3 separate regions of the Mus musculus genome follow, and regions 1 and 2 are each reported to be linked to region 3. The links are microRNA targets in miRTarBase. Many come from high-throughput screens and were not tested one by one. Region 3 holds a microRNA gene; each other region holds the end of a gene's coding sequence. Distances are from middle to middle.

The links. Region 3 holds the annotated microRNA mmu-miR-186-5p (CAAAGAAUUCUCCUUUUGGGCU, at 1,475-1,496, shown strand). A microRNA usually pairs through its seed, bases 2 to 8, with sites in the 3' UTR of a target mRNA and lowers its output. Matches are read on the target gene's strand: a 7mer-m8 pairs with bases 2 to 8, a 7mer-A1 pairs with bases 2 to 7 and ends in A, and an 8mer does both.
Region 1: the mRNA of Lrig2 is a reported target of mmu-miR-186-5p. Seed matches in the 3' UTR shown: 7mer-m8 at 2,374-2,380.
Region 2: the mRNA of Crispld2 is a reported target of mmu-miR-186-5p. Seed matches in the 3' UTR shown: 7mer-A1 at 1,781-1,787.

What each region holds. Positions count from the first base shown.
Region 1 is chr3:104,454,844-104,457,976 of GRCm38, forward strand. Lrig2 (leucine-rich repeats and immunoglobulin-like domains 2) reads right to left here. Exons shown (of 18, transcript NM_001025067.2): 18 at 1-3,121. The coding sequence ends at 2,922. Among named protein-coding and RNA genes, the nearest start is that of Gm38412, 47 kb to the left of the region's middle.
Region 2 is chr8:120,050,009-120,053,141 of GRCm38, forward strand. It overlaps Crispld2 (cysteine-rich secretory protein LCCL domain containing 2), which reads left to right. Exons shown (of 15, transcript NM_001310635.1): 15 at 275-2,786. The coding sequence ends at 329. Among named protein-coding and RNA genes, the nearest start is that of Zdhhc7, 50 kb to the right of the region's middle.
Region 3 is chr3:157,542,811-157,545,943 of GRCm38, forward strand. Mir186 (microRNA 186) reads left to right here and starts at 1,469; the gene lies at 1,469-1,539. It overlaps Zranb2 (zinc finger, RAN-binding domain containing 2), which reads left to right. Exons shown (of 10, transcript NM_017381.3): 8 at 348-434; 9 at 2,154-2,312.

The DNA of each region.
Region 1 (3,133 bases), 53 Mb from region 3:
GTAGAACACTTGCCTGGTATATAGGAAGCTATAGGTTTAATACCTAGGAATGCCAAAAGCCTGGAAAAAAGGCCCAAAGATGAACTATATCTCACTTAAGGAGAACAAATACAGGGCCTGAGTTGAGTGGGAGGACATGTACCGGGCATTCAGGAACCTGATGGTTGAATCCCAGTCCTGAGGGAAACAGCCACATTTCCCTGTTACTACTCCTTACTCCTGTAGTGTGTTATGAGAAAAGGCCATCCTCACACACTTGGTAAAATATAAACTGAACACTGTAATACCAATACCACTCCAGCTGGCTCTATAGGCAAGAACAAAAATCAATCTAGCCAGATATATCTAGTCTCCACATTTGGGAGGGAGAGACAAGAGAGTTCAAGGCCAGTGGCTGCTAAAAATAAAAAAATTAAAATCAAGAGTAAAGATGTATAATACAACATATACTTAAATTGTTTGTCACTGACATTTGTATCTGAAATGTAGGATTGGTTTTGTTTTTCAGAAAAATGATGCCATAATTTCATGTTTTTAGTTGTGAACACAGAGAAGATTATTTTGTTAACTAAGCAGACACTAGTCCTATGGTCAAACGTGAAACCAAATTCTCTAGGGTAAGAATCTTCTGTTGTTATTTCAGGAGCAGAGGCAGGCTCTTCTCGTCTGTAAATGGGTTCCTAATCAGTTACTCAGGCCAGCCAGGGATCTGGAAGCGCAGGCAGGTCAACATCTCCCCAATTCTCAGGAGATCCAATGGACACCGCAGCAGAAGGGCCACAGCTGGAGCTTGGAGGCGATATCTTGGGTAAGGTGTTTCTAGAGGACCAGGTCAAGGCCTGCTCTCTACCCTGACTACCCTGGGCTCTCCGTGAGGGCACAGAACTCTGACCACAGACAAAGTGGGATGGCCAGCTATAAATGAGCTGCTGTATACCTCCATCCTGAGCCTCCTGTGAGCAGCAGCTTCCAGACAAAAGACAACTTTTCCAATTCGGATGTGAGTTTTTTGTTTACTGACAGTGTTTAGAAGCAGAACATTTTTTCCTCCCCTGAGCATGTCTTAGACCGTTAAGTCTTGTATTGGCAAGATAAATACAGCTCAAGTTAGATGGAGCAGCATCACCCTTGATCTAGCTAACAGTTCACAAAGGCAGCTCTTCACTCAAGTGGCACAATCCTCTTTGGTTCCTGGCGGGAACTGGAGAGCAGCTTAGAGCAGCTAATAAACAGTCTCTTTCTATCAGTAAGACTCAGACACACAGCCAGCACGAGCAGTGCCAAGGGAGCAGGCTCTTAATGCCTTGTCATACCAGTAAAAAACCTGGAATACAGCCTAAAAGAAGGCATACAGTCTAAACAGATGAGAGCACTATACATTTTAAATGTTCAAAGTGGAAATGAAGAAAACATGTTTAAATAAAAAGCGAAAGTTTCAAAAGCAAACAGTGCTGCTGTCTGAGGAAGAAAACTTAGGTTTGAAAAAAAAAGCATGGGAAAAAAATGTCAGAAATTCACCTGAACTTTCTGACAAAAAGCTAAGAAGCTGTGAGTTTGGAACTCTGTATATATACAGTTACTTATAAATAGACACCTTTAAAAGTTGAGAGCAGGAAGCTGGTATTATACTCATAGGACAGACTGAAAGCACATGACATTTCATTAGTGTTAACATTCTTTGTTTACATAAAGCTTTTTGCTATCAAAAATTCAGAAAGCTGTTTGGCTTAAATAATACTTGTATAAAGACAGAACCACACTAAATTGACAGAGTACAGGAACTTTTGTGTGATCTACTCCCAAGAGCACACTTCCCTTCTTAATATGCTACATTCGTGAAGGAGACTGAAAACAGAGTAAACATAAAAAAGGCCAATCTTTGGTTTCCTTGTCATCAAAGTATTTTGCTGAAATAAGTCATCTTCTGTGCTCACAGGGCTGTGGCAACACTGCTGGGCTCTGGAAGAGCAAGACAAGAGGATCACCTGGCACTTGTAAAGAGACAGTAAGTACAAGATGCACAGAACTTCAGGCATGAAGCAGGCAGTTAATTATACCAAGACTGAGTCTATGAGCACACAATCACTAAGTACCCTGCCTTTATACATACACGTGGTAACACACAATTCTAGAACTTTAAACAGAGTTTGCAGACCTCACTACACTAAGTTATATAAAATCTGTGATCTGGAGAAGCCGCTGCCCATACAGTAACCAGACAGACATTATATATAATTTGGGCATATCAAAAATATTTACACTGTATCCAACACACAAGGTCAATGAGTAGAAAAATTATTTATGAATGCACATATATTTACAATGACATCCCCAGTTATACAGACAAAACAAACCCACCACACACACACACACAAAGAATACAAAAGCCTTTGATCTGGTACTACCAGTTGGTGAAACTTAGATTCTAGCTAAAGACCTTGAATATCAAAGCCTCAGCAGCTCTTCTCTGCTCAACACCACTGGAGAATCCTTGTTATACTTAGGAAAGCTCAGAAGATATCTCTGCCCTGTGCTTTTCCAAGCAAAGTAGGATATCAAAGTAGAGACGCTTTCTCAGGACCATTCTGAGGACTGGAACAATCCAGTAGGCTAAGCAGCAATGACTCTTCATGACAGGCAGTGCATGCCTGGGCACATCCCGGTGGGGATCAGGAAGGACACCTGCCCATGTTGTCTTCTGCCAGGGCTGTGCACTTTCAACGTGGTACACATTTCTGTGGTACACTTCTGTCAGCCACTACCTTCTCTTTGCCAGGTGTAAGCCCAAACACCAGAGCTACGCTGATGTGGTCAGATGTAACTTGAAGCAAAGAGAAATACAAATACTGACTTTTCTTCTCAATTCTGAGGTAGTAAATAACTAACTTGAGTCTTTGCTCAGACTTCCTCCTCAACGGGCTTCATGTGCCCTCAGTACCATCTTGAATGATCCGAGTCCTACTAAAATCAAAAGCATGGTCATGTAACCTGCGGCAAGTCACAGGTGAAGAGCAATTTGGATCCCTCTCTGTCAGCTCTGGTGACTCAAGGACAGGCTGCTGGGAGAAGGGAAGTAGGCCCAGTTCTCTGTTCATGTTCCAAAGAGGCCGCTGAAATATTTCTGAGAATGAGA
Region 2 (3,133 bases), not on the chromosome of region 3:
GATGGCATATTTGGGTAGCATTCGGGTGTGTGTTCCCTTCAAGCCACCCCTTAAATCATCTGTCAACCAGATGTCTGAGACAGGTGTCAGTAAAACCCAGAGAGTCGCTCCGCAACCTCAGCCTGGGCTCACACCACAGCTTCCTGTCGGCACATGTGGGCTCGTCCAGCTGGGTGTGACTTCTGTGGGCTCTGACCTTACCACATTGGCCCTATCGGCCATTCCTTTGCCCACAGCTTTCTCTTCTAACTTCCTTCTCCCTCTTCTCTTGCAGCCTGAACACTCCTCAGAACGGAAACGCCTTCCGGATCTTCGCCGTCAGGCAGTGAATTTGGCGACCTGGGGAGAAGGGGGTGTCATCTACTGGGATTCGGGGTCCTGCTTTTTATCTGTACTTTGTCCTTTGGGGGTGGGGGGTGACAGAGAGTCAGGAATCTTCCTTTTGGTGTCATTGAACGTCCTGGGCCTCCATGGCCTTTGGTGAGGGTGACCGAGCACCTTCCCCCTCATGAGCAGCGTGCCGTGGAGTCTCTTGGCTGGACAACCAGTGCCCAGGCTGGCCAGGTGGCGGTCCCCATCTGGTGGCTCACCTCCTCTCAGGAGCTGCTCACTGAGACACTCCTTGCCATGTTTTCTTTGGTGGTGGAGGGGGAAGGCTTTCGAACCCTGAGGATACAGGTTTGAGATATGTCATGAATGGGGCTCTTGTCTGGGTGACAAGAGTCGACAGCTATAAGGTTACAGTCCGTCCTACCGACAGAGAAATGGGGTCTGTGTTTGCTGGTCAGACAGATGGGCTGCAGGGAGAAGCCCCGAGCAAGACCTGGGCTCTGCCCTGGTGGTGTCTATCCGTGCTCACATTCCCCAACCTTTTTGGCAGTCACGTGCTTATAAGTCCAGCAGAGCTGGTCTATTTAAAGTTGGTAGCACTCCAGAGATTTATCTTGTCTTTGTCCTTGTCTGTGTGGCCTTTTCTCACATGACCTTTGGTCTCATGGAGGACCAATACATCAGGAGCCTTCCCTACCATTCCCTGACCCTGTGGCATCTGCCCCACCCTCAGCAGATCTAGGTGTCCTCCTCTGGGGTTTGGCTTTGCAAGAGGCTCCAGGTCTCAGATGTCTTCTCACTTCTTAGAATAAGGGCTGCCTCCCAGCCGCCGTCAAGAGTGACAATTGAACGTCACTTCCCCCTGGTTTGGGTGACCTAGTTTTTAAGCTGTGGGAGGAGTAGATTCCTGGCACATTCCTCATGGGGGTTAATGGAGTGGCCTGTGGTTGTAAAACCACCCATGACACACCAGCCACCAGAAAGAGGGGCCCGGGACACACAGGAAGAACCCCTCAGTGCCTGCCAGCATCCCCAGGCTCCAAGAGTGTGGTGAGCCCTGGCTCCCATCACTTAGGAGCCTGGTCCAAACCCACTGTAAAATGAAGCATGCTTCTGTAAACAGCTTTACTCTAGAGAAGGTGGAATCCCACCCCAGTCCTGAGCATGGGGCAGATTGCCGGTGAGTGCTAGCCAAACACAAACAGGGTTGCGTGCTCCAGCCAAATATTTCTTAGACCAAAAAAAAAAAAAAAAAAAAAGGGAAGGGGGTTAAAAAATAAAACAGAACACCATCCCCCCAATCAAAAGGCTGGGGAGGTGGCTTGGTGGTTAACAGATCTTGTTGCTCTACCGGAGGACCTGCGCTCAGTTCTCACTATTCACAGGCCGTTCAAGAGATCTCTGGTCTCCACAGGCACCACACACATTCACAGGAGCAAAGTACAAATGGTTCTTTAAAAAAAAAAAAGAAAAGAAAAAAACCCTAAGGGAGTCTGAACAAATCTCTCCCCCTAGTTGGGTTAAATGTTTATTTGTTTGAGACAGTTTCACTATGGTAGTCCAGGCTGGCCTTGACCTCATTATGTAGCCCAGGCTGGCCTCCTGAGTGCTAAGATAGCTTTTCCCCAATCCACCCCTTCTGGGGAGATTATAAAAAGCACACAGCCTTGAACCAGCTCTAGTCAGCCTTTCACTAGGCTGTTTCTGCCTCATGGGTGTGGGTGTGGTGTCTTTGAGGGCATAAACTCTTCCACTCCAGATGTTGGAGCAGACATCTGCGCAGTCTGTGGAAGGGGACCTCTGGTTGCTACCAAACATCTGGGAAACTTCCCGATACAAGGAGTGCTGCCGTAGGACCCTTCACCAAGCCAGCAGGGCAAGGCTGACGTGGTAAGGAAAACCATACCCCTTCTGGGTTTCTAGAATGAGCAGCCAATCCCATCTTCAGGGAACTTGCTGTGTGAGTCTGTACTGAGGTTCTCTGAGTTCCCTGGCTGCCCTTCCATCAGGCACAGAGCCTGGCCTAGCAGCCTCGATCGATCACCTTCATCAATAGTTTGAAACTGGAGGAAACAAAACCACAAATGACAAGACCTTACATCAGAGCCCTTCTGACCCTGTGTGTCCATCCATCAGCTCTTCCTTAAAGTGACCACGCCCACACCAGCTGCACATCCCCCCAACCCCCCCAGCTCCGGCCTGGTCCTGCGTTGGGTGAGAGTTTCCATTTGCTTCCAAGCTGTGCCCGGTCTGTTCAGAGGGGTGTGCCGATTCTCCATGATCTGTAGGCTTTCTCAGCCCGCAGTTTACTGTGTGCTTTTTTTTTCTATGAAAAATGATATATTTTACAACTTCCTATGTACAAAAGTTTATTGTAAGTTTTTGTGCTTCGCATGAACAGGGCCACACTGGTTGTTGCTATGGTTTCAATAAAACGGATTTGATTTCTAACACATACTGGTAGCACATCTTTTCTTCTTTTCTTGTCTAGACACGTCATTTGTGAACTCGTTTGCCTTAGGTCCCCCACAAGCTCCAAGCAGTTGGGAGGCCCAGGTGGCCTTATGAGGGACCTCAGAGACATGCCTGGGAAGCAGGATCAAGAGACTAGTGACGTAATGAAGTGTAGGTTCTGGCAAGCAAAGCAGGGATGAGATGCTGTGCTCCTCACAAGCCCAAAGACCGCACTCTAGCAGTGAGAACCACTGGGTCTTTTGTCAGGGACCTGCTGGTGAGAGCTGTAAGGAGAAGAGTGAAGACTGGGGAGTGGCTTTGATGACAGAGCAGGAGGTGGGCATCCAAA
Region 3 (3,133 bases):
TGAAAAGTGAACTGGAGAATCTAAATGTAAATGTGACGTTGTCTGCAGTGAGCTGTGAGGTGACATTGTCTGCAGTGAGCTATGGTGCTTGTTACTTCCCTTTTGGCAGTTTAATTGGGCTTGGAAAGTGGTCACTGAAACTTTTAATTTTTTTTTCCTTGTAAACTTAGTCTTTATTACAGTAAGAAGCTTTGTTTTAAGTATTTTTGCTTGGAAAATGCATCTCTTGCATAGACATCTTTTTATGTGAAAAATGCACTCTTAATATATGTCTTTCTTTCAGTGTTCATATCACAAACCTCAAAAATGTGGTCCTAGGGGAAAAAAATGCTTCCGTGTTGTTCCAGGTCCCGTTCAAGAAGCTCTTCCAGTTCGCAGTCCAGGTCTCACTCCGGTTCCAGAGAACATTCCAGATCCCGTGGTTCGAAATCAAGGTGAATGAGGTAGCGCCTCTGTAGAGCAGAGGAGAGTGCTCACAGGCTTCAGACGGCTCCGCTGCTTCTCTCATTGCCCTGCTTCTGTTTGTCCGTTCTGTTGTAGCCCTGGGAATCTAACGCACCTACCTCAGCTTAATCTCACCACACAGTGTTCCCACCGCACAGCGTGCCACACATTCCCACGGTTGATTAAAGGGGGTGGGGCTTGCACATATAGCTAAGATACGTGTGATGTAGGAAGGTGAAGGCAAGTTACTCCACCTGGTATATTAAGTTTATGTTTACAGTTAATTTAAATTTGACATACAAGTGAGAAGTTATTTCTGAGAGGAAGACCAACCATTCCATCATCTAGCTTCGAAACATTTTATATTTCAGGCAAATGTTTACAATAGCTTTGCCTGGTTTTTCTCAGTTTCTAGTGAGTGCTCTATGTATTTACTACATCTCCCTGACATTAAAGAATATTATAAATTACCTGTATAACAAACACCCCTCTTAAAACCAAGTCATGTAGGATGTTGGCTTAAGTATGGTTTGATATAAGCCATGCTGTGAGTATTTCAAAGGAAAATGATTGGTTAAAAAAAAAAAAGGCAATAGAAGCATTAGGCTTTTGGTTCCTTGAAAAACTTTTTTGTACTTGCTCACTATGCTGCCTTCATGTTCAGTCACTGTATTGTTGTGTCCTGCAGGCATACAGCATTTATACGAAAGCCTCTAAAATCTCACTTGTGGCTTTTACATTGACGTTTCCTAACAACTCTTCTGTAGAAAGACTCACTTACTTGAGCCCATTCTAACATTTGAAGGCAGCTGCCATTGAGTCCCCCTGAGGAGAGAGAGGGGTAATGGAGCACTGACCAGTGCTCTGCTGACCAGCGCTGAGTAGAGCAAAGGTTTCTTTCTTATTGCATTAACTATCCGTGCTCACTTCAGACTGTGGAGTCTTGGTGTGGCCCTCTGGGAACTGTAGGACTGAGGTTTACAGGACAGCCTTCATATCCTTCCCAAACATTTAATTGCTTACAACTTTCCAAAGAATTCTCCTTTTGGGCTTTCTCATTTTATTTTAAGCCCTAAGGTGAATTTTTTGGGAAGTTTGAGCTAAATGCCTTCAACTAAAAATATGTAAATAGAGATAAATTTGCTCTTTAAATTACACATTTACTTCCACTTAAAACATGTAAATGTTACTACTTCATACTTCATAGCACAGTTCTCATACAAATCACATTGTAGAGTTGCCATTTTCATTGACTACTTCACAGCTTCAGTGTTCTTTTTCTGGGCCATGTCCCTCAGGTGTCTGTAGCACCTGTAAGAAGTTAAGTTCATTGTCTTCAGCAAGCTTTATAAAAAGTGAATTTTCCTGACAAATGGGAGGATCTATTTTCTGACTATAAAGTCACCACAGAATTGATTTCACTGTTTGTATACTTTAAATTGGAACACTATAAGCAATTATAAAAATATTCTGTCTTAATTCAGTAAACTACTTCTTAATTACCAAGGGTAACTATTTAGAATGGTTTAAAGAGGAAATGATTGTGTGTAAATAGAACTTGTTGATGGTTGACCCAGAAGCCTTCTGAGTAAGCAGTAAGTATTCCCTCCTAAAGTCCTCATAGTCACAATCCTGTTTGCTTTTGGGAACTGGACAGTCTTCACTTCTGCCTTTAATGAAACGTCTGCTTTGTCTCTCAATCAATGAAGATCCAGCTCCAGGTCCCACAGGGGCTCTTCTTCCCCAAGAAAAAGATCTTATTCGAGTTCTTCGTCATCTCCTGAAAGAGACAGGAAGAGGAGTCGCTCTAGACCTTCTTCACCAGCTGTTCGCAAAAAAAGACGAACGAGATCACGGTCACCCGAAAGGTTTGGGTTTCTGTAGAATAAGAATGGGTGTTCTTATGTGTATTTCATAGGTGGACTTTGTAGGCAAGGGTTAGATTTCTTTCTCCTTTGTTCTTTAAATTTTTTATCTTTAAACTTCAAAATTCAGATTACTTTGTTTATCTTGCTTATTAGAAAAAAATTACAGGACAGAATATTCTCTAATCATTTTACTGTTCAAATTTTATTTCCACGTATATTATAGCCAACTCTCGGTTATTTTTGTGTTTTTAAAGATCTAAACCCAAAAGCTATATGTTGAAATGGTTTACATGTGTTTGTTTTTTAAGACTAAATGTTAGAGATGGTAGGGATCCTAGGGTACCTAGTCAGGATGAACTTGCAAAATCATGGGGATCTGTCCTCCTTTAAATGTGTTTAAGTTTTACAAGTGCATTTCTGTAGCACGTAGCTTTTATGCCCTTTACACGCCCTTGGAGTTAATACTTTTTTCATCTTGCAGTCCAGATCCATTTTCCTCTTTTGAAAAGGACCTTCTCTGGGTCCCTGTATCTAGAGTGCACTTGACATGTGTCAGCCTTTTCTGCAACAGACTTGATTACTTGATTTCACTAATTGTCTCTTGGCTTTCAATGTCATAATAATGATTTGTGGCTTCACTTGTAGTCTTAGCAAATTTTCCATATTCTCTCAACTTGTGAAAGAAAAGAAGGCTCATTAGATCTGGTGACGGCTGGGTTTAGAGGGTAGGGTCAGAATTACATGTCCTCCACATTCGAATTTCAAGATCGTACCCAGTCTTCCTTCTGTGCATTGTTTCTTCATATGAAAATTACTCTGTA